Caenorhabditis elegans: one gene and its partners. The protein of the gene in region 4 interacts with the protein of the main gene of each other region in a pairwise test. Each region holds a gene or a part of one and is shown on either strand. Other genes may lie near its edges. The genes, in order: madf-11, F53A10.2, lin-36 and goa-1.

The links.
Region 1: the proteins of goa-1 (region 4) and madf-11 interact in a two-hybrid assay, tested with the Caenorhabditis elegans proteins (one study listed by BioGRID).
Region 2: the proteins of goa-1 (region 4) and F53A10.2 interact in a two-hybrid assay, tested with the Caenorhabditis elegans proteins (2 studies listed by BioGRID).
Region 3: the proteins of goa-1 (region 4) and lin-36 interact in binary tests that used the Caenorhabditis elegans proteins (3 or more experiments, as listed by UniProt).

The regions. Positions count from the first base shown.
Region 1 is NC_003281.10:5,599,865-5,605,292, forward strand, and holds madf-11 (MADF domain-containing protein), read right to left. Parts: upstream 3,588-5,428; 5' UTR 3,567-3,587; coding exon 3,500-3,566; intron 3,455-3,499; coding exon 3,363-3,454; intron 3,319-3,362; coding exon 3,057-3,318; intron 3,009-3,056; coding exon 2,737-3,008; intron 2,611-2,736; exon of another isoform or gene 2,335-2,610; intron 2,316-2,334; exon of another isoform or gene 2,190-2,315; intron 2,168-2,189; coding exon 1,940-2,167; intron 1,898-1,939; coding exon 1,845-1,897; intron 1,797-1,844; coding exon 1,513-1,796; intron 1,469-1,512; coding exon 1,329-1,468; intron 892-1,328; coding exon 739-891; 3' UTR 523-738; downstream 1-522. Other genes in the region: wdr-37 (WD repeat-containing protein 37), read right to left, coding at 1-187; xnd-1 (X chromosome NonDisjunction factor), read left to right, coding at 4,597-4,969, 5,016-5,205, 5,256-5,347, 5,395-5,428.
Region 2 is NC_003280.10:1,222,606-1,230,357, reverse strand, and holds the start of F53A10.2 (Rap-GAP domain-containing protein), read right to left. Parts: upstream 6,008-7,752; coding exon 5,489-6,007; intron 4,591-5,488; coding exon 4,492-4,590; intron 4,248-4,491; coding exon 4,062-4,247; intron 3,261-4,061; coding exon 2,841-3,260; intron 2,089-2,840; coding exon 1,843-2,088; intron 1,429-1,842; coding exon 884-1,428; intron 713-883; coding exon 649-712; intron 597-648; coding exon 382-596; intron 35-381; coding exon 1-34.
Region 3 is NC_003281.10:8,016,117-8,022,772, forward strand, and holds lin-36 (Protein lin-36), read right to left. Parts: upstream 4,758-6,656; 5' UTR 4,755-4,757; coding exon 4,656-4,754; intron 4,600-4,655; coding exon 4,501-4,599; intron 4,426-4,500; coding exon 3,842-4,425; intron 3,741-3,841; coding exon 3,620-3,740; intron 3,545-3,619; coding exon 3,006-3,544; intron 2,905-3,005; coding exon 2,496-2,904; intron 2,373-2,495; coding exon 1,968-2,372; intron 1,902-1,967; coding exon 1,444-1,901; intron 1,396-1,443; coding exon 1,329-1,395; intron 1,114-1,328; coding exon 1,006-1,113; 3' UTR 532-1,005; downstream 1-531. Other genes in the region: F44B9.5 (Lipid droplet-regulating VLDL assembly factor AUP1 homolog), read right to left, coding at 83-230, 298-421; F44B9.2 (uncharacterized protein), read left to right, coding at 6,347-6,656. UniProt on the Caenorhabditis elegans protein: Required to negatively regulate vulval development. Antagonizes Ras-mediated vulval induction. Acts cell autonomously.
Region 4 is NC_003279.8:7,520,587-7,527,243, reverse strand, and holds goa-1 (Guanine nucleotide-binding protein G(o) subunit alpha), read right to left. Parts: upstream 5,129-6,657; 5' UTR 5,035-5,128; coding exon 4,874-5,034; intron 4,574-4,873; coding exon 4,432-4,573; intron 3,213-4,431; coding exon 3,052-3,212; intron 2,848-3,051; coding exon 2,719-2,847; intron 2,671-2,718; coding exon 2,541-2,670; intron 2,206-2,540; coding exon 2,052-2,205; intron 2,000-2,051; coding exon 1,926-1,999; intron 1,503-1,925; coding exon 1,389-1,502; 3' UTR 532-1,388; downstream 1-531. UniProt on the Caenorhabditis elegans protein: Guanine nucleotide-binding proteins (G proteins) are involved as modulators or transducers in various transmembrane signaling systems. In the 1-cell embryo, probably together with gpa-16, controls nuclear rotation and spindle elongation during mitosis.

The DNA of each region.
Region 1 (5,428 bases), on a different chromosome or scaffold from region 4:
ATGTGTCAAACTCCTTTTCAATGTGCCCAAAGAGCTGATAGAGACGGGCTCGATACGGAGCATCGTCAACGTCCAATGAGCTCTGAAGAACTGTGAGTGCTCCGCTGATCTCTGTATCGACAGTACCACGTCGTGAACGCATCACCTTCTCTTTTTCGGCATCTTTTGAATTCTCCGATTGTGGCATTGACCCACTGCAAAATTAATAATATTTATAACATGCAAAACTTATTGGCAAATTTGTTTCATCCTTTTTCAAACTTGCTCTCATAAATTCCAAAATTTTCCTGATAATTAGGTTTCTTTCATTCTGTTAAATTTAGTTTTTATTGAAAAAAGATTCACTGCCAGCCCGTTTTTAATTTAAAAATGATTTTTTGTTGGGTTTTAGGTTTAAAAGCCATTATTTTGAGGCAGATTCAAAAAAAATCTATATATTAATTCTGAAAAATTCAAATTAGAAGAAAATAAATATTCACAAGGACGACAAATCCATATTTAAAAAGGTTTCAATTCCTGTTAAAATTAAAAATGTTATTGATTTCATCTGAAAATTATGACAAATGACAATATTCGAAAAAAATAAAATAAATATTTTTGAGAGAAAAGGAGAAAAGAGAAAAAAGAATACGTTATGTTCACTGATATGATTGATTTCGGGAGAAGGATGGATTTTTTTCAGAAAAAAAGAAAAAAACAAATTAAATATTACAGAAGCATTGTACGTCAAATTAATGTCTAAATCTCTTCAGGAACTTCGTGATTCGGATCAATTTCCACGTGTGACTCTACCTCCAGCATCTCATCGTGTTTAAGCATATTTCGGGCTGTGCCTAAGCCAAATCTTGCGTCGAGTATAATTTTTTGCATGTTGAATTTCATCACGGATTTCTGAAAATAGATTTTTTTAATATTTCGAAAGTTAAATATTGATGTTGAAGTTTGCCTGGTGATTTTTCAATGGGAACTTCAATGATTTTTAGGCTGATTTATTACAAATATTGAACATAATTTGATTTTTTTTGTTTTAGCTCATTTTTTAAAACAATTTTTCCTGTGTAACTCAAGACTTGAATCCAGGATTATTTCAAGTTTGCTTGTATTTTTTTCTTTTTGGAAAATTTCACTTTTTTCTGAGAAATTCGATTTTTGTCCACAATTTTCAATGTTTTTTCTCAAAATTTAAATTTTGTAAGCAAATGACATTTCTTCCTATAAAAAATTTTTTATATCCAAATTCGAATTTTTGTATAAAACTCCAATTTATTAATGAAAAATCGAATTTTTAAAACTCTTCCGCGTAAATTTTGTTAAAAACCAAAAATTACCTCATCATCAGATAACCTGTTCAAGACACTATTGATATGTTGTTGAAATGCGAGATCTTCATCATATTGTATCGCCATTTCATCAGAAGGTCCTCCAACCACCACTTGCTGCTCAATATCATCTCCAACACCCCCATCATCTGAAAATTCATTCAATATTCATATTTTTCCAGCGAAAAATTACCAATATCTTGATGATGATAATGATCCATTGAAGTTGATGGCATATCCATTTCATGATTTTGTGAACTTGATTGTTGAGATTCCAGAAGCATTCCAGAACCTATTTTACACTCTCCATCAGCTTCTAAAATAATCTCATCGTCGGCAATTGGGACTCCATCGGTTAGAATTTCTTTGGGTAGACACGGGGCATTTGATGAGGTTGATACACCGACCATTTCACTATTTCGATGACCCACTTCCAAGTGTATTTTCTTTTTTGGTGGTTCCGATGGCATATTTGAACTGAAATGTTTTATTAAGTGAAGTTTAAGAAGTAAAAAAAAAACTCACGAATCTATAAGTTCTGGCATCGAATCATAAACCAGGGAGTTTGTTCGGTGAGGCTGAAAATTTAATTCTTATTTAAATAAATTATTTTTTCCTACCATATGTACCAATCTTCTAGATGAAGCCACTGTAACTGCAGGTTGCGGCGTTGCACTTCTATGCGCGGAGACCATTTTGTAAATTTTCGTATTCGATTGAGCATAGGAGGGTGATGGTTCCACCTCCACCAATACACCTTGTCGTCCAAACGGATTAACTTCCTTTTTGACTTCATTCATTTGATGTTGTTGGTCTGGATTATTCTTCTGTGGCATACGATGCTGTTGCTGGAATGAAAAAAAATCAAAAAATTGTTATCGGACTACGAGCTCATCAACTACAACACGGCGAATGAGCAGATACTGCAGATATTGGTATTGCTTCATTAGTCGCGCACACAATGCAAGTTACAAAGTGTAATGCACCATGAAGCGGGGTCGAACTTGTGGACTGTTGCTTTGCAGACGAGAGTGTTAGCCAGTAGGCCACCCGTGCATCACCGCAAGCGAGGCCGGTAAGGGGTTTTTGAATGCTTGCCTTTGCTATTACCCAGACGTGAAATTTGCGATTTTTGCGCCAAACATACGGTACCAGGTCTCGACATGACTAATTTTTGTTAAATACAATAAAGTGTGCGTCTTTAAAGAGTACTGTAATTTCAAATTTTTGTTGAAAAGCTATGAAAATCGATGAAAATTCCGTAGCAACAAAAGTTTGGAATTACAGTATTCCTTAAAGGCGCGCATCTTGTCGTATTTAACAAAAATTGTTGTGACGAGACCGGTTATCTCATAGTCAGCAAAAATCGGAAAAATTAGGGTCTGAGTAGTAATTACTTCATCGTTTTTGCACTTACCACTATCCGCTTCGGCGATAATGGATAAGTTCGAACAATTGCCTCTGTTTCTCTTGATTGTGGTGATTTTCGACGGGAATATGAAGATGTGGGAATTTGTTGATGTGGCCTAACATGAGGCTGAATAACCACATAATCGAACTTCATGGATTCAGAATTTCCGAGACTTTGTCCGGGTTCTAATACATCTTCTGCCAGCGGAACGTCATTATAGAAATCCTTATCCAGTCCGGAGGACATTGCGGTGAGCTGTGAAGGAGGTCGAGAGTCTGCTGAAAATATAAATGATTTTGGTGTATTTCTTTGCAAGAAACTCTTACATTTCTTCTTAAAAATCAATGAATCTGTCCATCGCATTGCCTCAATTAGTCCATCGGACATATCAATCGATTTTCTAGCATATTGATCGAGAAGATCCGACCAGACTTCCTGAACAAGAGTGATGTCCTGCCAAACTATATCAGCACGTATCCGATCCCATGCTTCTCGTTTCTGAACCTTCAACTGAGCATCCGGCGTGGCGGCTTGCATCTCCTCATCGTAGAGAATCGGATTTTCTCGAACCATATTGATTAGTTGAAGCTGAAAATTTGAAAATTTTGAATTTTAAACGTTTTCCAGCTTACAAGTGTGTATTGCGTAGTTTTTACGGGTGGATCTTCCCTGGAAAATTGTTGTTGGAGGTCTCCAGCACCACCGTGGGAGCTTGAGGCGACACCTGGAAAAATTATTGGAAATTCTGAATCTATGAATATCGATTTACTTGTCATTGAATGCTTGAGACCGGCGATTTGATAATCCTCTGTTCCGTGCCGCCGTCGGTCGCTCATTGGAAATTTTTAATAATAATTCTGAAATTTATTTTCTTCTCAAATTCTCGCAAGTTTCTCAAGCATTTCTAGCTGCGTTGCGTGGCGATTCCTTCCCGAATTCGAGTTTCATATCAATCTACGATCCATTGAACCCAATAACCCGATTGGCAAGAAGATGATCGTACACACTCATTCACATAGGTGATAGACGTGCTACAGACCGTGGGAGACTCGAACGGGTAGTAGGGCGGAGCCGGGAACCGCGACGCAACCGAAACGCTTCAGAAACCGCAACGGAACAGGCATGCGAAGCGGTCAAGATTCGAAAAAGAAAACGGAGCGAACAGGCAGAAAAACATCGATAGATAGGCGCGCGTGGCCGAGAAGGAGGCGAGACGAGACATCTAGGCCATCGATGGTTTCTCTGCGTCTCTCAAGTGAGTAAATAAATGGTTTTGAGAGGGTAAAATGAAGAAAAAGGATTGATCGAAATTTAAAAACTTAGTCTAGGAAAGGAAAACAAAGCAGGGGAAATCTGAAACAAAACATATAAAAACACACATTTTAACTATTTTTCAGAGTTAAACAAATATAATCTAACAAGAATTCAACTTCAAAGTGAAGATTTCCAGAAACGAAAATGGTTATGTGATTTAAAAATGTGATTTGTTCAAGGAATTACAAGAAAACTCTGGTTTAACATTTGAAGAAAATCCATATTGCGAAAAATGAATTTTAAAAGAATTATTGACGGTTTTGAAATGTGAAATTTTCAATAAATTTCGAAAAATAGATAACTTTTTTTAAATAAAGAAAAACAACGAAAAAATATTTCAGTGGTTACGGTAAACAAGCATAAGAGTGTTTGCGTACTGCGGACCAAAATCTTCGCGAGACCTCGGGTACTGTAGAAAATTTAGGTATTTTTAAAACTTTATTTTTCTATTAATTTCCCTTCTTTCTCATTGGGATTTTCTAGTTTTCTGGTAAATAAAAACAGTTTAAATTTAAATTTAAAAATTTTATCTCCATATTTTTTGTTTCCAGGATGTCTTCTGAACCCATTGTTGCCAATCTAGACAATTCCATGACGACAGAGCCTGCACCCGCAGCTTTTCCACCAATATCCCCAATGTCATTTGCTTTTATGAATGAAGAAGAACGAGCAGCGGTCAAGTTTCCAAAAGTTGATCCAAAACCGCAAACTGCTAAAGATGATGAACCTTCCACATCCCAGAAAACGTTGAGCGTCGATGATCTTCTGATAGTCGACGACGACGACGAAACTGATTCACCACCGGCATCTTCTAGTAATTATGAACCTAAAGCTCATATTGGATGGGCTTCATTCGGAGATTCCTGTCTCCCACCTCCACCAAAGCCAGTTAAAAAAGCTACGGATCCAAATTTGCCACGAAGAAGTTTGTTTGCAAATGGTCCTCTGTTAAATAAAAATATTGTTTTCAGAAGTCTACGTCATTCGTTCTCAGAATACAGACAAGTCGAAGTCCCCGTTAGTTGTTAATAACCAACAAGTAACACTCGAAAAGGCACAAAATTCTCCAAAAAATCCGAATCCTGTTGTATCTAAGCCAATAGTGCTTACAGACTCTGATGAGGATGTGGACGTTGTTGGATTCGACGAAGAGGAGGAAGCGTTAGTTTTTAAAAAGTTTTTTATTAAACAAAACAATCACCCGTCTTCAGAATTAAAATTATGGCCGACCCTACACGCCCACCAGATCTTCCACCACAGCGATCTCTGATATCCAGATTTGAGTCGAATCGAACCAAAAGAGGTATTTTCCATGAAAATTTGATTTTTTAAAGCTCATTTTCTCTTCAGATATCTTCCGAAACAGTTATGATTCTGATGAGGA
Region 2 (7,752 bases), on a different chromosome or scaffold from region 4:
GGCGCGTTCCAGCTCCTCGGAGAGCACACTTTGGCTGAAAGTATTGAAATTATGAGATTCAGTGAAAAACCAGCTTTCGAAATAGTACCCACAAGCCTATGTTTTTAGGACATGATATTTTAGGCCGTTACAGGCCCTCGTAGGCCATTTCAGGCCGCGGATAGGCTTTCGATTTAAGTTTCCAAACTGTGTTAGTGTGCGGAATATTTACTCTTGCTGCAAAATAATAAATCGATTCGAAACCGTTTCAGGCTATTTTAGGCCGTTTCAGGCCGAGCGCAAGCCTGAAAATCTCAATTGTTCGAAATATAGGCTTGTGGGTACTTTTTCGAAAGCTCTCGGTCTTCCGAATTCAAATTGTTCAATTGAAACATTACTAACCGATCCTTTAACTTTTTAATATCAGTTTTGCAGCTAACATTCTGACGTAACAAGTCGTGCTTCTCATTCTGAAGTCGTGTAACATCTACACAAAGGGTCTCGAGACGCTTTGCATCTGAGGACTGATGATTTGCTGCCACGTGGAAGTCATCTACACAAAATGTGCACGATGAAGCCCGAGTTTGACCTGACATTTCTGTGGAGGACATGGATTCCTGGAAATGGAAATTTGTGCTGAAAATTCAAAAAAAAAATTGAAAATCTTACCATTCCAGTATCCGAATCATGCTCGTTATCCGGAGACTCTTGAGATGAAATTTCCCATTCTTTTCTGAAATTTGAATGTGAAAAAAAAATAATTTGGCCAGAAAAATTTTTGGGAAATTTTCTTTGAAAATTTGAATTTCCCGCCAAAACATTCTGTAAATTGTAATCTCCCGCCAACACTTTTTTTTAGAAAATTTGAATTTCCCGCCAAAAAAAAAACCCGCAAACCCCTTACCTATATGGCTTGACAACCTCCTCATCCCTAATCGGTGAGTGTGTCCGGGCACTGGTCGACGAACTCGTCGAGGATATCGATTTTTTAGGCCGTGACGTCACATTAATCGTGGCGGCGCGGTGTGGTACGTGACTAGCCTCCTGAGAAACCGACCGGCTTCTCCCGATAAACGCCTTCTTCACAGATGACAAAATCCCGCCGCCATATGAGTTGGATGACGATGACGTGGTGGCAGCACTTTCGCCACCTGATGACGTGGATTCTAGTAGTGGTGTGGCATAGAACTCGGCACGCTCGCGTAGAGTTGCGTGGAGCCCGTCGAGCAACGAGCTTCTGGTACGCTCGGCAAGTTTGGCGAACTTTGAGCTCTTGTAAGCAGCGTTCTCGGCATTGATTAGCTTGGTGAGCAGGAAATTTCTGAAATCTTGGCCTCGCTTGAAAATCGATGGGGTTGGCAGGGTTGGGCCGAAAAATGGGACGTCATCACGGGCGGCCACGGAGACTCGGTACCTGACACGGTCGGTCAGGGCGTCGATTGGTTGGACCTATAACATTGAAATTTGCGTTTGCCACGTTGAGAGCTTTTAAAAATGTACCCACAAGCCTATGTTTGAAAATAATACGTTTTCGGCCTATTTCAGGGCCTAAATTGGCTTGAAATGGCCTGAGTTGAGATGCTCTTGAATTTGAAATTGGTGAACTTGAAATCAATTTTATTTTAAAAAACAACGGTTTTCAAAAATGAGGGCGACTTGAAACGGCCTGAAACGGCCTGAAACGGCCTGAAACAGCCCAAACGGCCAAGAATAACCATTTCTCCAAAAACTAGGCTTGTAGGTACTTATTTTGAAGCTAATAAGCTGTCAATTTCGAATTTGTTACTAAAAACCTTGGAAAATCAACTTCTAGCCGAAATTTCACGTTTTTCCCCAAAATTTCATCAATCTCTGAAAACGCACCACAACATAGGCGTGCAAAAAGTTTGATGCAATCATATCAGGAGCAAATGGAGTATTAGCCTCCTGAAAGATGATTGCCACAATATCATTTCCAATATGCCGTTTTCTTTGAAGCTGCTGGGCGTCTCCAATAGTATACGGTAGCATTGTTGACACGTGGAACATGATCTCACGATTTTTGAATTCACTGAATACGGACTGATGGCCCGTTTGGTTGTGGGCCGTGTCAAGGCCTCCGCGGTATTTCTGAAATTTAGAAAAATTATAGATTTTTTCGTCATGTCCATTTTGTGGGTGGGGCCTAAGTGACAGCAAAATATGCTTTTTTTTTTGACAAAAAATTTATAAAAAATGTTCTGGAAAAAAGAGCCATTTTGTGGGCGGAGCCTTATTCGACTCCCTTTTTGTAAATTTCAAATTAAATAGTTTACTCGTTATTAGCAAAATTTTGATTAAAAAAATATGAAAAATTTTTGAAAATTTTAGCTTGAAATTATGTTTTCAAATTATTCGTAAAAAATAACAAAATCTAGGCCATTTTGTGGGCGGGGTTTATCAAACCACGCCTATTTTTGTATGGTGCTGAGCTTATAAAAAGTAATTTTCCTTCCCGTTTTCAGTCGAAAATTGAACGTTTTGCTGAAAATACAAAAAAAAAAACTTTTGTGGGCATGGTCTCCTAAGCTCCGCCCCTTTTCTTACTTTTCACGAATGGAAAAGTTAGACAACTTGATGAGAAACTGTGGTTTTGTGACCCAATTTTTTGGGATAAATAATTGTCATTGTGTGGGCGGAGTCGGTGAAGCCCCGCCCATTTGTGGGCGGAGTCTGTAACCACAAAACATATTCTTCAAAAAATTTTAATTTTGAGGAAGAATTTTTTTTCGAAACTTCTTTGTCGATTTTTTTTTTGAATTTTTGGAGTTTTAGAAACCAATGCCATTTTGTGGGCGGAGATTAAATTTCTAGAGATCAAACTTGCCGCTCAATTTGCCTACCTGAAAGCCATTCAACTGCACAGAATCGCCAATCATCGACAAAAACTCGTCAAAAGCCGGGCTCCCGTGTGGATTTCCGAAAAGTTGCTCCTCAGTCGTCTGTCCGCCTTTTTGATAGATAACTCCAAATTTATAGGTATTCGTGAGCACATGCTCATCATACTGTACAATAAGCTCAGAACCACCGGGGAATGCCACCGGAGAGAACTGCTCAGTGGTGATCTCCTCGCAGAGCAGCTTAGCCATCCGGGAAGCCGATGGGCGGTCGGCTAGTGCGGTAGCTGACACAATTTCATGGATGGTACCTTTACGGGTACGGAGAATGATACGGAAATGGTCACAGGAGGAGATGACTTCTGTGCGGACGCTAAGGACCAGTGGGCCTACGATTGGGTCGTTGGCGAAGAAGTCGTGGTGCTCCTGAAAAATTTTACGTCGAAGTTATGGCAATTTTGATTGAAAATTTGAATTTGTCGTAAAAAATGGTTTTCAACATGTACCCACAAGACTATGTTTTGAAAACTACTCATTTTAGGCATTTTTAGGCCGTTTCAGGCCGATCTAGGCTGTTACTAGGCCTGAAATTTTGTATTGTCTTTTTATATGTGATCAGATGATAGATACCAGCATATTTGATTTTTGAATCCATTTTCAACAAATCTAATTAAACAAGGCCGTTTCAGGCCGTTTTAGGTCGCTTCAGGCCTCAGTTAGACTGAAAATCTATTTCTTTAGAATATAGGCTTGTGGGTATGTTTCTGAAAGCTCTCGGTTTCAACAATGCGAATATTGACAAAAATAATACGTTACTACTAGGCCCTGTGCAAAATTGTCACAAAATTGGAAATAAAATTTGGTCGATTTTTGAAAACCTAGCACTTCTAGGCTCAAAACTCAAATGCAACAAATATAAGTCAAAAATTCAAAATTACTATGTTATAGGCTTTTATTCAAGTACCCACAAGCCTATGTTTCTAGAAATAGTTATTTCAAGCCCTTACAGGCCGATTTAAGCCGTGCACAAACCTGGAAAACGATATTGCTAAAAACAAGGCTAGTGGGCTGCTTTACTGTCGTTTTTTGTAACATTAACCGTGCGAATCAAAAAAAGGCCGATTCAGGCCGTTTCAGGCCGCCTACAAGCCAAAACTTTTTTTTTGGAATATAGGCTTGTGGGTACTTTTCTGAAAGCTCTCCATGCGTAGAATTCAAAAAACCTACTCTTCCAAAGAAATGTCGGCGATAACAATGACTAGTCTCGTCGGTTTCCAGCTTGAATCTGGCACAACTGTTCACATTCATATTATTGACTTGATCATCCATATGGTGCTGTTGATTGACTCCATCCATCCAAAATCCATTTGATGGTAGCACTATTTGTGGATATGGGCCCACTTTTGTTAGGACCTGGAAAAATGGAAGTTTTGGAAATTTTTTGAGAATTTTAGAGAATTTTTTGAATGGAATACTACAAGTTTTTGCCAATTTCTAACACAAAAAATACCAAAAAATTCCTTGAAAACTCGTTTTTTTTCTCGTTTTTTTCTCACGAAAAGCAAACATTTCCATGAGTACTACTAGGTACTATTTACTTTTTCGTAGTGTGAGAATTTGTGCAAATACTAGAGAGCAAAAGTGACCACATATGTACCTCATTCATAATATTCCTGGTCAATTGATTGTGTACGGCGGATCCGTTGGTTTTTTGATGAGTTTGCTCATTTTGGTGACCGGAAGTTGGGTTGTGAGTCTGGAAAAATGAAGGTTAAGGGGATTTTCGAGGTTTTCTAAGTGGTTTTGTGGGATTTGAAGTCATTTTTCTCAATTTTCAGTATTTTTTTCAAAATCAGTATGCTTGGTTACCCGTATTCCCAAATTTTCAGCCTTCTAGCTCAAATTTTGGCGAATTGGCTGAGTAGCGACCCAGTTAATCACGGAGTTTTGTCAGGTTTAATGGAAAATTGCTGAGAACTTTGGAGCTGCTGTAAAACTTTGCGTAGATTACAAAAATCGGTGCAAAGTATAAGAATTTTAAGTTGTAACAATATTGGATCCTGAACTTTTTGTACTATATGTATACTAGGAGCAAAAATCATTTTTTAAATTGAAATGAATTTTTTAAATAAATTTTCTGAATTCAGCACAAAAAAACTGACACCATACATGAATTTGGATTCTAGCTCAATTTTTGGAGAATTAACTGAGTAGCGGCTCAGTGTGATACGGAGTTTGCTCAATTTCAGAGTTTTCAGGCTGAAAATTTTAGGATAAGTGTGACAAAATTCGCTGATTATGGTGAGAGACAGAAAAATTTCAGTTTTTGGTGAATTGACTGAGTAGCGACTCAGTTTAGTTTTCTCAATTTCAGAGTTTTTCGGCAGAAAATTATATTGCTCAACCTATCTCTATAAAAATTGACAAAAATCAGTACAAAAATGCAGCACAAATTTAAGTCTAAGCCTAGGCCTAGGCCAAAGCCTAAGCCTAAACATAATCCTAAGCCTAAACCTAAGCCTAAGCGCATAAGCCTATGCATAAGCCTAAACCTAAGCCTAAGCCTAAGCCTAAGCAGAAGCTAAAATAGCTTAAACTTCAAATTGGCTGAATAGCGACTCAGTTTCAGCCCCCCAAAACCGATCCCTCCTTACAAATCCAGAAATCTCATGCAACGAGACCGTCGACGAAATAAGCGTGGGCGGTCCAACAACTCCCAAATTTTTGAATTTCGCGGGCCTCCCCACGGCCGCCTTCTTGGCCATCAGGCCCTGAATCAACTCCAGCGGACCCTTCGAGTGCCGTCTATTCGACTTGATAATCCCTGGCAGAGACTCCGTAGAAGTCGTCCTCCATCGTATCGCCTGTGATGACGTGGCATGCTTCATGTTCTCCATAGCCATCAGAAGCTTATCAGCAGCCATCACCTTGAACTCATCCTCCTTGTTAAGCTCAATACAAGAAGCCCGGCGGGATTTTAGGCTTGAAAAATCGGAGCATTTATCATTTTCCGACGCCGTGGAGGAGTCTGAAGAGGTGCTGCCAGTGGATCTCAGATTGTATTGTGACGTGGCATGCCGCAACGGAGCCAGCCTCCGAATCACGGGCGGTAGATGACGTGGCAACTCGTCTAGATCATCCTCGGACTCGGATGAGTCTATAAAGTGGAGCATTCGTCTAGTTGAAGCTAGACGTCTTGGGCTACAACTGATAGGAGATTGAGCTTGAAATATCGAGAAATAATCGGGAGACGGAAGCATTTTTTCCAGGGGAAAAATGGATAGAAATGGTCAAAAAATGGGGAGAATGATGGGGGAGATGGTTTTGAACAAATAATAGGAAATGGATGCGCCCTAAATGTGTATGTATGTATATGTTTGTATATATATTTGTATGTTTTGAGAGGTGTGGAAGAGTGAATGAAAAATGATGAAACGAACACATGAATGCACTTTAGGCAAAGAGAAAAAGTTCGGAGAAGTGGCGGGAATATTGGCTGAGTAGCAACTTAAGTCCAGGAGTAGGTGTTGGCTAAGGCTGAGGCGTAGGCTTAGGCCTAGGCTAAGATTCAGGCTCAAGTTTAGGTCTAGGCTTAGACATAGGCATAGGATTAGGCTTAGGTTTAGGTTTAGATTTGAGATTGGGCATAGTCGCTGAAATATTGGCTGAGTAGCGACTCAAAAAGTTTGACTCAGGCATAGGCTTTAATTTAAGCTTAAACACAGTTTAGGCTCAAGATAAGTCTTATGCTTAGGCTTATACTTAGGCTTAGGCTTAGGATGATGCTCAGGCTTCGGATTCGGCTTAGGATTAGGCTCAGGTTTGGGCTTTGCCTTAGGCTTCGGCTTAGGCGTAGGGTTGAGATTGGGCTTAGGCTTAGACTTAGGCTTGAGCTTAGGCTTAGACTTAGGCTCATGCTACGGCTTCTGCTTAGGCTTAGGCTTAAGACTTAGACTTAGGCTTGAATTTTAGCTCCATTTTTATACGGAGTTCTGCCAATTTTTATGAGGATAGGTTGAAAATTTTGTTGTAGCTTTATAAAGTGGCGAGATACTTTTTTAAAAATATTAAGATGTGATCTACAAAAAATGCGGGAATTTCCTGTGGAGGAAAATGTGACGTCAGCACGCTCTCAACCATACAAAATCTGTTGAGAAGTCTGCTCCACATTAAATTCCCGCATTTTTGGTAGATCACACCGAAATGGGACACTTTGACACCACATGTGAAAAAAAAGTTTCATGGCAATTAAGAAAACTCCGCATCACAGTGTTTATCGAGTCGCTACTCAGCGAAAGTTAGAGAAAGTTAAAGTAGAACCCCTAAAACTCATGCTGAATTTGAATTTCACATTGAAAATTGCTAAAAATTCCAGTTCATTTATACGACCGTAAACTAATTAAAAACTTGGGCGAATAGGTAAAATTTGGTTCTAAATCTGATTTTCACATTTTAAATTTAGAAAATACAGCTCCAAAAGCCCCTAAAATCAATAAAAACTCCAAACTCACAAGGGAAGTCTTTGAGGGGGTCCGTAGATTTGGGGTTCTCATGCTAAAATTCCTACAGAAGAGTGTTAGTTATGATCTCTCCAAAAAATTTAGCTGCCCCGGTCAAGTTTCAGCAAAGTTATGACGTTTTGAAATTTCAGTTAAAAACACCATTGAAATCCACTGTCTAGCCATGCAGTCCACGCAAATCTCAGCTTGCGTGACCACCGAAAATGTGACACCCACCACATTGAGTTGAAAAATGTCCTCGGTGGCCGAGTTGGGAGTGCGCGCGTCTGATAAGATTTAAGCTTTGGTTCGATTCCTTCTATTTTTGAAATATTTTTGTAAGTTGAATAAAGTTGTAAAACAACTCATTCAAACATTTTTGCGCATTTTTAAAGTGATTTTATTCTTATTCGGGAACC
Region 3 (6,656 bases), on a different chromosome or scaffold from region 4:
TACGGCAAGCTTCCAATTTTTCAGTAACTTGTTTCTATTTTTTTGGAGATATCAAATATTTTTCAAAAAAAAAATCACAAACCTGTGACCAGATTTTTCAACGACAATTCCGAGAATTGAGCACATAATTCGAAGAGTGTGCATTCTCAAAGCAGCAGATTTTCTGAGTAGACATGCAACAATAAATGTGTGGAAACCGAGGAAAACACGAATTAAAAGAATAATTAAACCTGAAATTTTGATTTTTTAAAACTTTTACTTTTTGGAATGTGTCAAAAAATTTGAAAAAAATCTCACCAACTGGAGCATAAATAATCGAAAATATTTTAGCAATCGTATCTTCATTTCGTTTTTGATGGAATAAATCTTCGATACGAAGATCTTCTGTATTTCCAGAAGACGATGCTTCTGGTGATGCCATTCTAAATTTTAGGATTTTTTTAAATTTTTCATGGTTTTTTCAAAATATAATGTTATGGATAATCAGGTAGCCTATAGAAAAAATAATCTGAAAACTCTTTTCAAAAACCTACCAAGCAAAATCATTTATTTATTGACTTTTAGTCATATTTGGCACACAAACGCACATATCTTTCAAACTTGAATGTAATTGAAAACTAGGGAAACGTTTAAATAGACTTTGGCTCATTTTTTGTGAATAATTCAGATTAATTTATGATAGAAAAAGTGTGGTTTTTGGGGAGGGGGCGGGGGCTTATGGAAAGTAAAACAAACTATTAATTTTGGAAAGTAAATTATAGGGGGGAGGGGGGGTAAAAAATGGGAAAAAAGTAAATGTGAAAATCCTAAAAATCTAGACGAAAATCTATCCTAGTCGGAGTTTTTATCAGATTTCAAGAATTTCGAATGAAAGTAAAATGGGATAACTTCTGTGGATATAAAACAGAGATAGTTCACATGAAAGAAATGTGGGGCGATCCTCGAAAGGACAATTGACTTTTGAATCTTGAATTTTGAGGCACTTTCTTTGATAATTAAAAATAATTATTGTTGAGAATCCGATGATCCTTGTCCTGGAAATTGTTCTTGCTGCTGTTGTTGTTGTTGTTGTTGTTGTTGAAGTTCACGCCATTTTGGATCTTTTTTGGTGAGCTGAAAATCATAAGAATGAAACAAACTGATTGATAACGCCAAATAGCGGAGAAAACATGTTTTTAAAATAAATTGTGTTGTGATCAGTGATTTTTGATGTTTCAATCGGAATTTTTTCAAAGCAAATGGTTTCAAATTGAGAACAACATAAATAAAATCTTTTAAAAAACGAAAATTGTTACTAAAATTCAGAATTGAAACTAATAAAAACATACCACTTGTGCTCCATCGTTAGAGTAGAAAATTTGATAATCTTCAGTCCTTTCGCCAAACAGACGAGCTCTGCAAAAAATTAAACGATTTATCAAAGTAGACCTCCCATGGGCTCACCTGGCTCTCGCAGCTTCAATTTGCCGGATGCAATGACGGGAAAGTCTCATGTCAGCGCGCATTTTCGTCACGGTGCGACATTTGATAGCGTCTTCCATTGCTCTGTAGTAATGAGCATCTTTCATCATTTCTTTTGAGATTTCTTCCATATCTTGATCTTTAACTGTTCCACTTGAACCATCCATCTCAAGAGCCTCTGCCAGCGTAAGCATCGGTTGCCTCTCGGAAGATGTTGAAGAAGTGGCAACATCTTCAGACGATGAGTTTCCCATAGAATCAATGACTTCTTCGACCATTTCAACTTCCATATCCGTTGCTGGAATCAGATACTCATCAGAAACAACCACCGGAGAAGATGCTGAGAAGTTTGGCGATGACTCGTGATGGGAGAGTGTTGGTCGTGGAGTTGATGTTTTTTTTCGTGGTGAAAGGATCAGTGGTCTTCGGGAGAGCACACTCTGAAGCAATAAATTAGAAAAAATATCAAAGTCTCCTAATAAATAATTCTAATATATTAAACTTACCGGTCTCTTAGCAGGCCCTTTTTCTTGTGCAACAGCTCCCATAACTCTTTGAGAAAAGATCCCGCCAGGAGAGGATGAAGTTGGTGGTCTTGATATGACTCCAGAAGATAATGAACGTCCTCCACCAAGTGATGCAGTAGCTGTGAACGATTCTAATGGAATCTGATATTTAGCCATCGAAGGACGAACTCCAGCAACAAAAGATCTCGCGAGCATTGATTTTAGAGGGCGTTCTTCCGGCTCTTTTTCTACTGGTGCCGGTTTTGCGACAGGAGTTGCTGGTTTTTCAACTTTTTGAACAGCACTCTCCTTAGTTTTCGATCGTGTATTTCTGGCGATAAATTTTTGACTTGTTGTCGGTTCTGGTGTCTGCTCCGAAGATGTCACTTTGTCTTCTGGCTCCGTCTGAATAAAAAACATTATCCTAGTAATTCGAATTTCAACATGCTACAAAGTAAAAGAGGAATTTCAAAAGTTACAAATTAAGTTCTAATCTATTATTTAATAAATTCAGTAAATAAAACTCACCGAAGAAGTAGCAGCGATCCCTTTGGCCAAATTATAAGCCAAGGCCTTTCTCGGCTTCTTCGTTGCTGCTTCTTGTTTCTTGAATTGTTTGGCATTGATCAATCGCTTAACTTGCTGAGATCTTTTCTGAACCATTTTGGCAAATTGTTCATCTCGTTCCTTCAAACGAAGACGTTCACGTGGATCATTTGGTGAAACTGTTGGTTCTCTCTCTACACTTTCAGGAGTTGGATCGTGTTCTTCTTCGTGTGAAATTTTCCGTTTCTTAGCTGGAGTTGATGGAGCTGTAGCAGGAACTTCGTGTTTTGCCACCTTCTTGATTGGTGAATTTGTAGCGGAAGTTGCGAGACGTGTTGCTTTACGTCGTTCACCAGATCCCATTGGAGCTTGTGGAGACTGATGGGAAGTTCTAAAAAATTTAATTGCTTCTTTGATTTCCATTTAGTAAGATTTTTTAAATTTCGTTACGCAGGATGTTCTCTAACTCGAACATTTTTTGACAAAACTTACAGTTCAGAAACATCGTCTGACTCTTCTTCTGCATGTTTTTTCTGACTGCTCTCTTGCTCCTTCGTTCCTTGAGCCGATTCTTCTGCTTTTGTATTAATCTCTGCTTCTCTTCTCAATTGCAGAAACACTTGTCGCTGCATTACGTTCAGATCATTCACACTTGTACCACCTTCTTTTCCAACAAACGATAATGTCCTCACTGCCTTCTTTCTCTTCTCTTCATCGTGAACCATTTTCGTACGCTCTTCTGGATTTTGCACGTAGGCTTTTTTCGTTGGTGAAGGTGTGAGTACGATTTCATTTGCTGGTGGTTCACAGCCGTGATATGCCACATAAACGTTGCGACGAGTCCAGTTATCCCAGCTTTCCGCTGGATCCAACTCAGTAGCGCGGCAGTTCATTTTAGCGAATTCATATATTCTACGAAGATGACAATGATGAATGGGGCCAGCATTCAAGTGACGACGATATCCAGATATTGTCTTGTAACCATATGTGCATTTTCTACAGAATGGGCACATGAAGCCAGCTTCTGGGACCTGTGAAAAATATTAATTTTTGTTATAAGAATTATGTGATAAAATAAGAGTATTAACTAAAAAGCTTGAACTTACATCCAAAACATTATCTTTTTTCTTGAGCATTTCCTCCGTGTGATTGAGAAGATGTGTCTGAAGCTCGACAACACTGCACGAGTGGAACTCACATACGGTACAGACCCATGGCACTCTGGAACTTTTATAAAATCGTGAAAGAGGATGTTTTAGCCAAAAATCGAGCTAACATATTCATTCACAAGCTTTTTCGTTTCGAGCAGAACCAGCTTTTCTTCTTACCTTTTTTTACTCGGTGTCGTCTTAACGTCTGGTGAAATAGCAACAGGAACTCCAAAAGCTTCGATGGCAGATTTGTTGAAATTGTGATTCCTGAAGCACTCCTCGGCGAAGTGCTCAGTACAAATTGGACCGGCAGCAATTGAAAACGATACAGGACCCATTTTACTGCGAAGAATATCTTTGTATTTGAATCCAAGCAAATTTGCCCAAATTCTGCGCCTATCCAAGTCTGCTGGGAAGTTTAGATGCATCTCTCCCGATTTCATTACTCGATTACAAACTGTACATGGCTTATGAGTCAAATTGGAGTATGGAGAAAACTTCTTGAAATGATCAACAACATATATTCTCAGTCTCCCATTTGACATCCGGTACACTTCTAAATGCTCTCCATCTGGCGGAGTTCGTGTCATTCGGCTTAAAGTCTCCGGAATAACTTGGCACGGAAAACTGGAGTAGACACTTTCGCCTTTGCCGTGGATAATTTCTTCTCTTGGTTGTGACGACGAAGCTTGTTTAGTTGGAGTGACTTGGCTTTCATCAAGAACTTCACCACTTGATGTGACAGTTGGCATTACGGGAATCTGAAAATAAAATGATGTATTCTATTCCGGCCAATGGGCACATGCATTAATACGAGAATGAAAATGTAAACGTACATCGTGTTCGTCCTCATCTTCTCCTATTACGTCAACATCACCCTCAGTTTCCTGCAATGCGTCTACAGTTGAGGATTCTTCACCAGAATGCTGTGAATCCTAAAAATGCATTGATATTCATAAGCGGCGAGAATGTTTCTCAATTATCACCATACCTGTTCAACTGAGTGCACCGTCACGTGTGAGTCTTCTGGTTCTTCAATATCATTATAATCCCTTTTACTGGGTCTAGTACTCAGCAATTCTTCCGACATTTCCTGCAATCAAATATTTTTGGAAAAGCCTTTCTTTTGCAAATTCTACACATTTTGAGCACAAAAACAGAAAATACAGTGAATTTAATTGTTTAAAACGCTCAAGAGATACAAATAATAACGAAAAACATTGATAATAAGTGAAAAATGAGTCGAAAGTGTAAAAATCGATAATTGTCCGGCCAATTTTTGTACAATTCTGGCTCCCACTCATCTGATGTACGCAAACACCGCCACGCGCGGTTGCGTACTTTTTCTATGACGTCTCTCCGTTTGCTACGCTCTCTCGCCGAACAAGCGACTTGGAACTGGAGGGACGTTGAATTGATGATATCAATATGGAGACAGGTCATTTGTATAAATGATTGACACCAATTTATCCAAAATACCACGGAGATAACACCAGGAGTTTGAGAAGTACATATTCGTTAACAATAAGTGATTTAAAGCAGGGGAATTAATTAATTACAACGGGAACATCATAAGCTTGGAACATTTCGTTGCCAAATTAAATCGAACGGAAGACAGTTTTCTCTAGGTTCAGGTATAGTAGAAGCTTGAGCAAACATATGCGTATAGTAAGTGATGTTTACTCAGGTACTCATATTCTATTAGATACCGTACCCCGAAAACTAGAAATAGGATTTCTAGTTTTCGGGGTACGGTATCTAATAGAATGTCTTCCAGAAACGATTATAACAGACACGTAATCTGGGTGGAATGCTGAAAAATAATTCTGATTTTTATTTAGAAAAATTATTTCAGAAGATGCATCTTCCTCTTAAGATGCTCTCAATTTTTCTTCCGTACACAATTAAAAATCATAATCTGGTGACAGCTCATACAGAAGCGCAATTCTTGCCCTGGCTTGTGAAGTGATTACATTTTTCGAAAATTATAATGTATTATTCGTCTGAATACAATACTTAGCACGAGCAAAAGATTTCAAAGATGACAAGTCATTAGACATCTCTTCATAAAAGCGATTACGGTATAACTTCTTATTGGGAGTCGACTTAAACCCCCAAAGACAAGAAACACATTAAAAAACAAATAGTGAAAAATTCTTAAACTCAATAACAAACAATCAGACTACCGTACTCACACAAATGAAAGTTTTCTGCCATCTGTACTTTTAATATCCGGCCTCTCTAGGGAAGCATTTGTAAAAAAATTGTTTCATGGTTTAATCAAGTTACAATAAATTGTAGCTCGCGTAAATGTTCATGCATGAATCTTAAATTTCCAGGTGTCAATTTTCCAAAAACCTATCTTCACTTCTCAAGTCTAAAATCTCTCGGATCCCTTCCTTCTCCTCCCCCGATTTCACTGATCAAGTCCGTGTGCAACTCTGCGTATCTTCATCTTACACACTATTCAGTGTTTAATGCTCACTCAGGCGGGCTCAAAACAGTGTAAAAATGGCCTCTAAACCCTCTTCCGTCGTTCTGCCAATTTCTCTATTGCCAACAAAACAACCAACATGCCATCCATATCACTACTACTACAAGAGTTTTTTTTGAATAAAACCAATCTCGCATACTTTTTCTACTTTATGAAGCATCAAAACTCAGTACAATTTCTATTTTTAGATGGCTGACGATGAAGATGATATAGTTTGGATTCGTGAAGATACAGCTCAATCATCAGTTCCAACATCTCCAACAACTCCAGCAACTATCATTGAAGCTGCACCTGTATTGAGTGATGCATTTGATAAACCAATTCTAAAATCAGTTGAAACTATTTCTGTATCAAATGGACCACCTGAAGTCACAATCAGTGCTCCACCACCAACTCCTCCAGCTGCTCCATTAGCCCCACAGATAACTCCAATGGTGCTTTCAACAGTTCCAGATGCAGCTCCTGCTCAGGATATTCCAGCTTTAATTTTAGCTGCAC
Region 4 (6,657 bases):
CTCTTTTTTTTGGCAAATGAACAGAAAAAGTGAAAGTTTATCACATAGTGGGAGGAGGAGGGAAAAGCTGATGGAAAATGAACACAATTGTGTGACAAAAAGGACACATTTTTAGATGATTGTTGTAAAATTTAATGAAACTTGACATTTGGAAGGTTTTTCGCTTTAGTAACACTCACTTCCGGGTCATTTATCTTGAGAAAATCATTATCTGAAGACTATTTTTGGGGTTTCCCACTTTTGATGTTATAACAATAGGTTTTGATTTTTTTAAATCTTGGTAATGATGGGGAAATTGTTTTAAACCATGCTAATAATTCAAAATAACAATTAAATTTTAAATTCGCGCGCGAGGTTTAAACTTCTTGGTGGTTATTCAAAAAGGAGTTCAGGGAAATTTAAATTTTATCGAGTTTTAAAAATATTGGTTTTTTATCTAGACATATGTACGGTAGTCCCATATGCAATTTCCCATGCAAACTAAATCACTGTACTTTTGTATCCACCAAACTGAATTTGTACGAAAACTAGTTGAGGATGTCGTTTATATCAAATAAGATATCAATGAGTGGGTGCAGTCGACAATAAACCAATGCGGAAAATATCGTCTACTGCACACCATCGTGCTCACCGACAAAAAGCGAGACGATTTTAAAGAAAAAAGATGGAAAAATGAAAAAGTAAAAGAAAAAATAGGGAGAGGAAAACAGCGAGAAAAATGAGTTTGGAAGTGTGGTTTTAGGAAAAGGAGGGAAAATGGATGAGAGGGGAAGAGTAGAAATAGAAAAATACCAAAAATTAAAAATAAAATCTTTAAACATAGACAAAAGCTGCCATTATTTAACTGTTAACAGTGACTAGGTGTGTTGAAAAATGGGAGAAAAGAAAGAAAAAAGGGGCAAAGCTTTATAATTCGGGGTGAAGAGACCTTTAGGGGGTGTGTGGCGGAACGGGACGAATTCCAACTGAATTTAGATTTTTAAAGTTTTCTTGTTTTCAAATAGCGATAAGGCTACACGGGAGTGAGAAGGGCGGGGGATGTGGCGTGAATAATGACAATATATAATAAATAAGAAAAAAGGAAAAAATAAATAATTGTGAGTTTTATGTGTTATTTTTGTGACAGAAAAATTAGGGATCCTAGTTGAGAAAAAGAAGGGCGGTGAGACTATTATGAATGAATCAGAGGTTAAAAAAAAGCCCATATACATCTGAAATTGCAACTTTTTCCAAAAAATAAAAACAGTTGCAACCATAATGTACATGTAAAGCTCTCAAATTATAGATGCATACTCGGGGGATGAGAAAAATAACGAATCTTTAAAAATTTGGGAAAAGTAAGCAAAGATACACACAGAATGGTAGAAGAGGGCGGCGAAGACGACAGCTTAATACAAGCCGCATCCACGAAGATTATTGGCAATAATCACATCGGTGACAGCGTCAAACACAAATTGAATGTTAGTTGTGTCTGTGGCACATGTCATGTGGCAATAGATTTCCTGCAAATAAGAATATTATTTCAAAAGAAAACAAATTAAATGAAATAATGAATTAAAATTATTACCTCAACACTCAACTTTAACTACCTATTCAAATATGAAACTACAGTAACCGCAATATCGGAGAAAATGTCGAGATAGTAAAAATCTCAAATTTTGGTTGTAATTACTTAATTGAATACGATTCAGAGATTTTTCTGGTTATCATTTTCTGTGACAGATTAACAAAACAATTGAATATTCGTGTTTACTTAAAAAAAATTAAATTTTATAAATGTTTCACACTTCAAAAAATTTCCAAAATTAACTAGATATTAAAAATTATAAAAAATATTATTCTAGAAAAACAATTTATACTTTTCGTGGAACAGGAACCCCATAGGCTTCTCTGATTTCATTGATTTTTAGACTTTTTTTTCTTACCTTATTCGCTGATTTGTTTTTAGCCTCAAATTGTGCTTGAATATACGCAGATGCCTCGTGGTAGTCTTGTCGTCCTACAGGGATTAAGAAATTAAAACATTTATTGGAAATTCAATTAAATTTTACCTGAATATTCTGGGAAGCAGATCGTTAACGGGCTTTTCTTGATTTTCTCTTCAAACAGATCCTTCTTGTTCAGGAACAGAATAATCGATGTATCTGTGAACCATTTGTTATTACAGATCGAATCGAACAGCTTCAGCGATTCGTGCATTCGGTTCTGAAAATATGAAATAAGGAACAATAATGAATAATAATGAATAATGAATAATAGAATGAATAATAGAATATAATTTAAAAAAACGAGTAATTTTTAAATTATCATGTTTCTTTTATTTTGGCAAATATATTGTCGGTCAGAAGTTGCATTTTCGTTAGAAAAATTAGAAGAAGAACATTATTTTTATTATTGTAAAAGTCGACTCGAACGACCAAGTCATGATTGGAAAATCGTTTAAAAAACATAAAGTCTCTAAACGATATTTTCTAATTTTAAATTTTGTCTGTCTTTTTCAACAAAAAAGCTTCTAAAATATTAAAATATCAATTTCTCACTGTTGTCTCATCTTCGTGCAACACTTGATCATACTCTGACATGGCAACACAGAAAATAATAGCAGTAACATCTTCGAAACAATGAATCCACTTCTTCCTTTCTGATCTTTGACCTCCCACATCGAACAATCTGTAAATATTCATTATTAAATATTATTTTTTTATCAAGAAAACTCACTTGAAATTGAGATTTTTGAATGTGAAGTGAACTTCAACAATACCAGTTGTTTTGACACGAGTTCGGAGAATATCTTGCTCAGTTGGTTGATATATTGCCTCTCCTAACCTTTCCAGGTCGTCAAGGAAACTGAAAAAATGGTTATTAATAAATTCTATAAACTGCGAAATTTCTTGAAATTTTAAATTTGGTAATATTGAAAATGAGCTTGACATGTAACATATTGATTCGAAATTTAGGAAACTCTTCTCAATTTATGAAAAAAACCACTTTGGTTGTTATGGAGATAATAGTTACTTGAAATAATTTTTCAAAATTTTGAATTAAACTTACTATTTGGCTGAATCATTCAATTGATACTCGTTACTCCTTGAGAAACAATCCTGTACACCTGCGTCTCCCCACAACCGTTTCATTGAACTGAGCAATTCTTCTGAGAATGGCTCTGTGTCCTCCATTCGTGCCACCACATCCATCACTAATTTTGCATCTACCTGAAACAAAAAACTTTGATTTTAGTTCTCGATAACTTTATTCGCTGATGAAAATTGAATAATTCACAGCATGTCATGTACATCATTTTCCCAATTTTCTCACAAAATTGAAATTGGATCCTTGGCTCTCTTCCAATGGTTTGTCCAAAGGTCTCAAAATGGTCATTTTATTTCAATTATCTCAAATTACTTTATATTCGGTGACATGCATAGTCACGTCTTGTTAAGATTAAGGATATATATAAAATTGAATGATAAATGTTCGATCTTCACATCAAAAACTTTTTTACGTTTTCGACACGACAAATTTTTGTTGAATGCTAAAATATGTTTATATTTATTCTTACGATTTGTTAAAGTTAATTCGTAAATATTTGATTGTTATTTATTAATTTTTAAAATAAATGAATACGTTTTTATTGAATAACTATGAAAAATCGATTAAAAATTTGGCTGCAACGAAAATTAAACATTACAGTACTCTTTAAAGGCGCACACCTTCTTGCATTGAACACAAATTCATCGTATAAAAACCGGGAATTGCATTTGTGACGCAATAACAAAACATTTGACGTCTGAATGATGTAAAATCTTCTCCAAAACGTTGGGAACATTTTTTTCTGATGATTTGCCACATCAATCGAAAATGTGTTCCCAAAGATTTTCCAACATTCTAGAATCCCTTCCAAATCCCAATTCAAAATTCCTGCCTCGAACATATATTTTTGGAATACTAGGTCGAGTCTACGAGTTTGTCGGTGGCGCGTCGCGCATCGAAACTCACAAGGGAATTGGAATGGGACGGTGGTGTGGTAGCGGGATGCATTGAGTGCAACGAGAGGCAATAAGAGTTGCAGAATGTAAGAGAGAGAGAGAGAAAAAGATACCGAGCCAATGAATACAACAGATTATGTCATTTATTCTCATGCTCTTCGTTTTTCGTATCTTTTTATTCGTTATTTTCCAAATATTTCGAATTACTCTTCAGAACACGGGAAACATTTTTAATTGAATAATGTTTATGTTCTATCTATAGATCACAATCGCAAGTAAATTTCAGAAAAATAAGTTTTATTTTGAAGTAACGTTTTTGTCGTGCTAATCATTAGCAGCTAATGGACCGAAATTAATTTTTTCCATTAAGGGATCACTTGAAAATTTCGTGCCTCATTTTTAAATAATTTCGATTTTTTTGCAGAAAAATTGTCATAATACTCACCTCTCTGTCAGCCGAACCAAATGAAACGCCTAAGTTGCTCATGGCTCGCAAAATAGCGACCAATGATTGAACCGTGTTACTGTAGACAACCGGCTTGTACTGTTTGTAGTCTTCTGCTGTGAATCCCGATTCGTGAATAATTCTGAAAAAAAAACATTAAAATGTGAAAATTTGTAAAGGCGTGTTTCAAATTTAAACTATTAGAGAGTTGAACTTACTTTTCAAATTTTGAATACGAAAAAAAAATTAATAGCAGTCTCTAGTGATTTATTTACTTTTTAATTAAATTTAATTTTTAATAATTCAAATCGATCAAACGAAATATTCGGACGTTCTATGGGACAATTTCGGATGATAAATTCTGAGTTTTTCACCATTTATTTCTACCATTTTCGTTTATATATGTTTTAATTTGTTATTTAGAAATTTAAAAAAATCTCACTTCATCTGTTTTACAATAGTCGATTTTCCTGATTCTCCTGCACCAAGTAGCAGCAGTTTGATATCTTTTGCCGCTTGCATGCCGTCTTCTTTAAGATTTTTCTCAATCATTCGTGATCTTTCAAGAGCGGCACGCTCTTCCTGTGACATGGTACAACCCATGGCGCTAGAGTTGATGAACGGTGGACCCTATGCCCCGGTAGCGGTCTCCACTTGATATCCTCTACTCACTCACTGTATGTGGTGCAGCTCAGCGCTGAAAATAAATTGAAAAAATTAGAATCGAAGTAAGTTATAGCGGGTTAAAAAATAAGGAAAAGAAAAAGCAATCGAGCGAAAAAAAGGGACACAGTGAGATGGAGAATGAAGAAATGGATGGATGAGGGATCGAGGGCAGAATATAGATGAGATGAGAGGAGATGACAAAAATGACGAATGAGGAAAATAGAGGGTGCACGTCGTCAAGGCGACTAATTTTTATTGAATTTTCTTACTTTTTCATTAATTTATTTTAGTGGTAGAAATATGCAACCTACAATACTCTAAACAGGGCCTTTCTAATTTTTGCGCAAACATTTTTTCAAATCAGACGTTCTCTCAGATTTCTTTGGAGCAGCGTCAGTGGGGAAATTGTTAAAACGTTTGCATGTTCGAATCCCTGCAATGTTTGAGTACTAAATTCGAAGGTGAAATTTTTCTTGATCTACGACAGAAAAATGTACTAACTGTTAAACTTGCAGATGAACTAAATTAGTTATATTTCAAGAATGATCAGAGATTGTTCATTCAGTTTTCTATTTTAGAATCAATTGGTTTAATCTGAAATCGAAATGAAAATCAGCTAATCGAGGATAAACATGTTTTGCAAAATCAACCAAAAAGAAATTTTACTACATGCTTCCGGCCGGGTCAACGTTCTCCACAAAAAGGTTAGAAAATAGATAATTTGTAAAGAACAGAAGCAAAAAAATAGACGACAACGTCTTCGATTTTTCCGTTTTCACTGCTTCTGCTTCTTCTCTTTCTTCGTTGTCGTCGTCGTCCTTCTTTTTCTTTTTTTTTTGCGTGGCGCAAAAAAATGGGGGAGCAACTGCGACGACGACGGCGAGCAGGATGGTGGGGTTGGAGAAGGAAAATAGAGAGAAAAGCGAGGGCGAGGAGAAGAAGAAGGTCATGGGCATAGCAGAAAAGGGGTAGTAGTAGCCAGGGGCAGCCAGTAGCCGAAACAGGAGAGCCCCATCGTTCAGGGGGCAGCGACAGTGAAGACGAGGGTCGGCGGCTACTTGCGTTGCGTGTCGATTCGAATTTTAAATCATGATGAGGATCAGAACCATGCAGATATTCTAGTAGTCGGAGTTATCTGATCACAGGCGGCGTTTGAGTTAAAATCTTAAAATATTGCATAAAAACTTAAATTGTCTGACAGCCTTAATAGCGACTTTATGATGCCGAAAACTACTATTTAAAATTTAAGTTTCAATCGACGAACAGCGCCGTAGACTAGGTCTCCGTGAACCAAAAGCTATAGGAACATAAAGCCTTTTTCCATGTGCCTAATTGTTTTATTTTCATAATAAATGCATAGACAGCACTGGCAGCGATACACAAGGAGACATGTTGAGTGCCGTACACCGGAGACCACAGCTGGACCCTCTTACAGATTTTCCAGTCGAAGAACGGAGACGAGGGGACACGAATAATAAACAATGAGTGAAAGTATGAAAGGGAAAATCAAGAAAAGATAAAAATAGTGGATTACGCAGAAATAAAACCTTAACTTGAAAT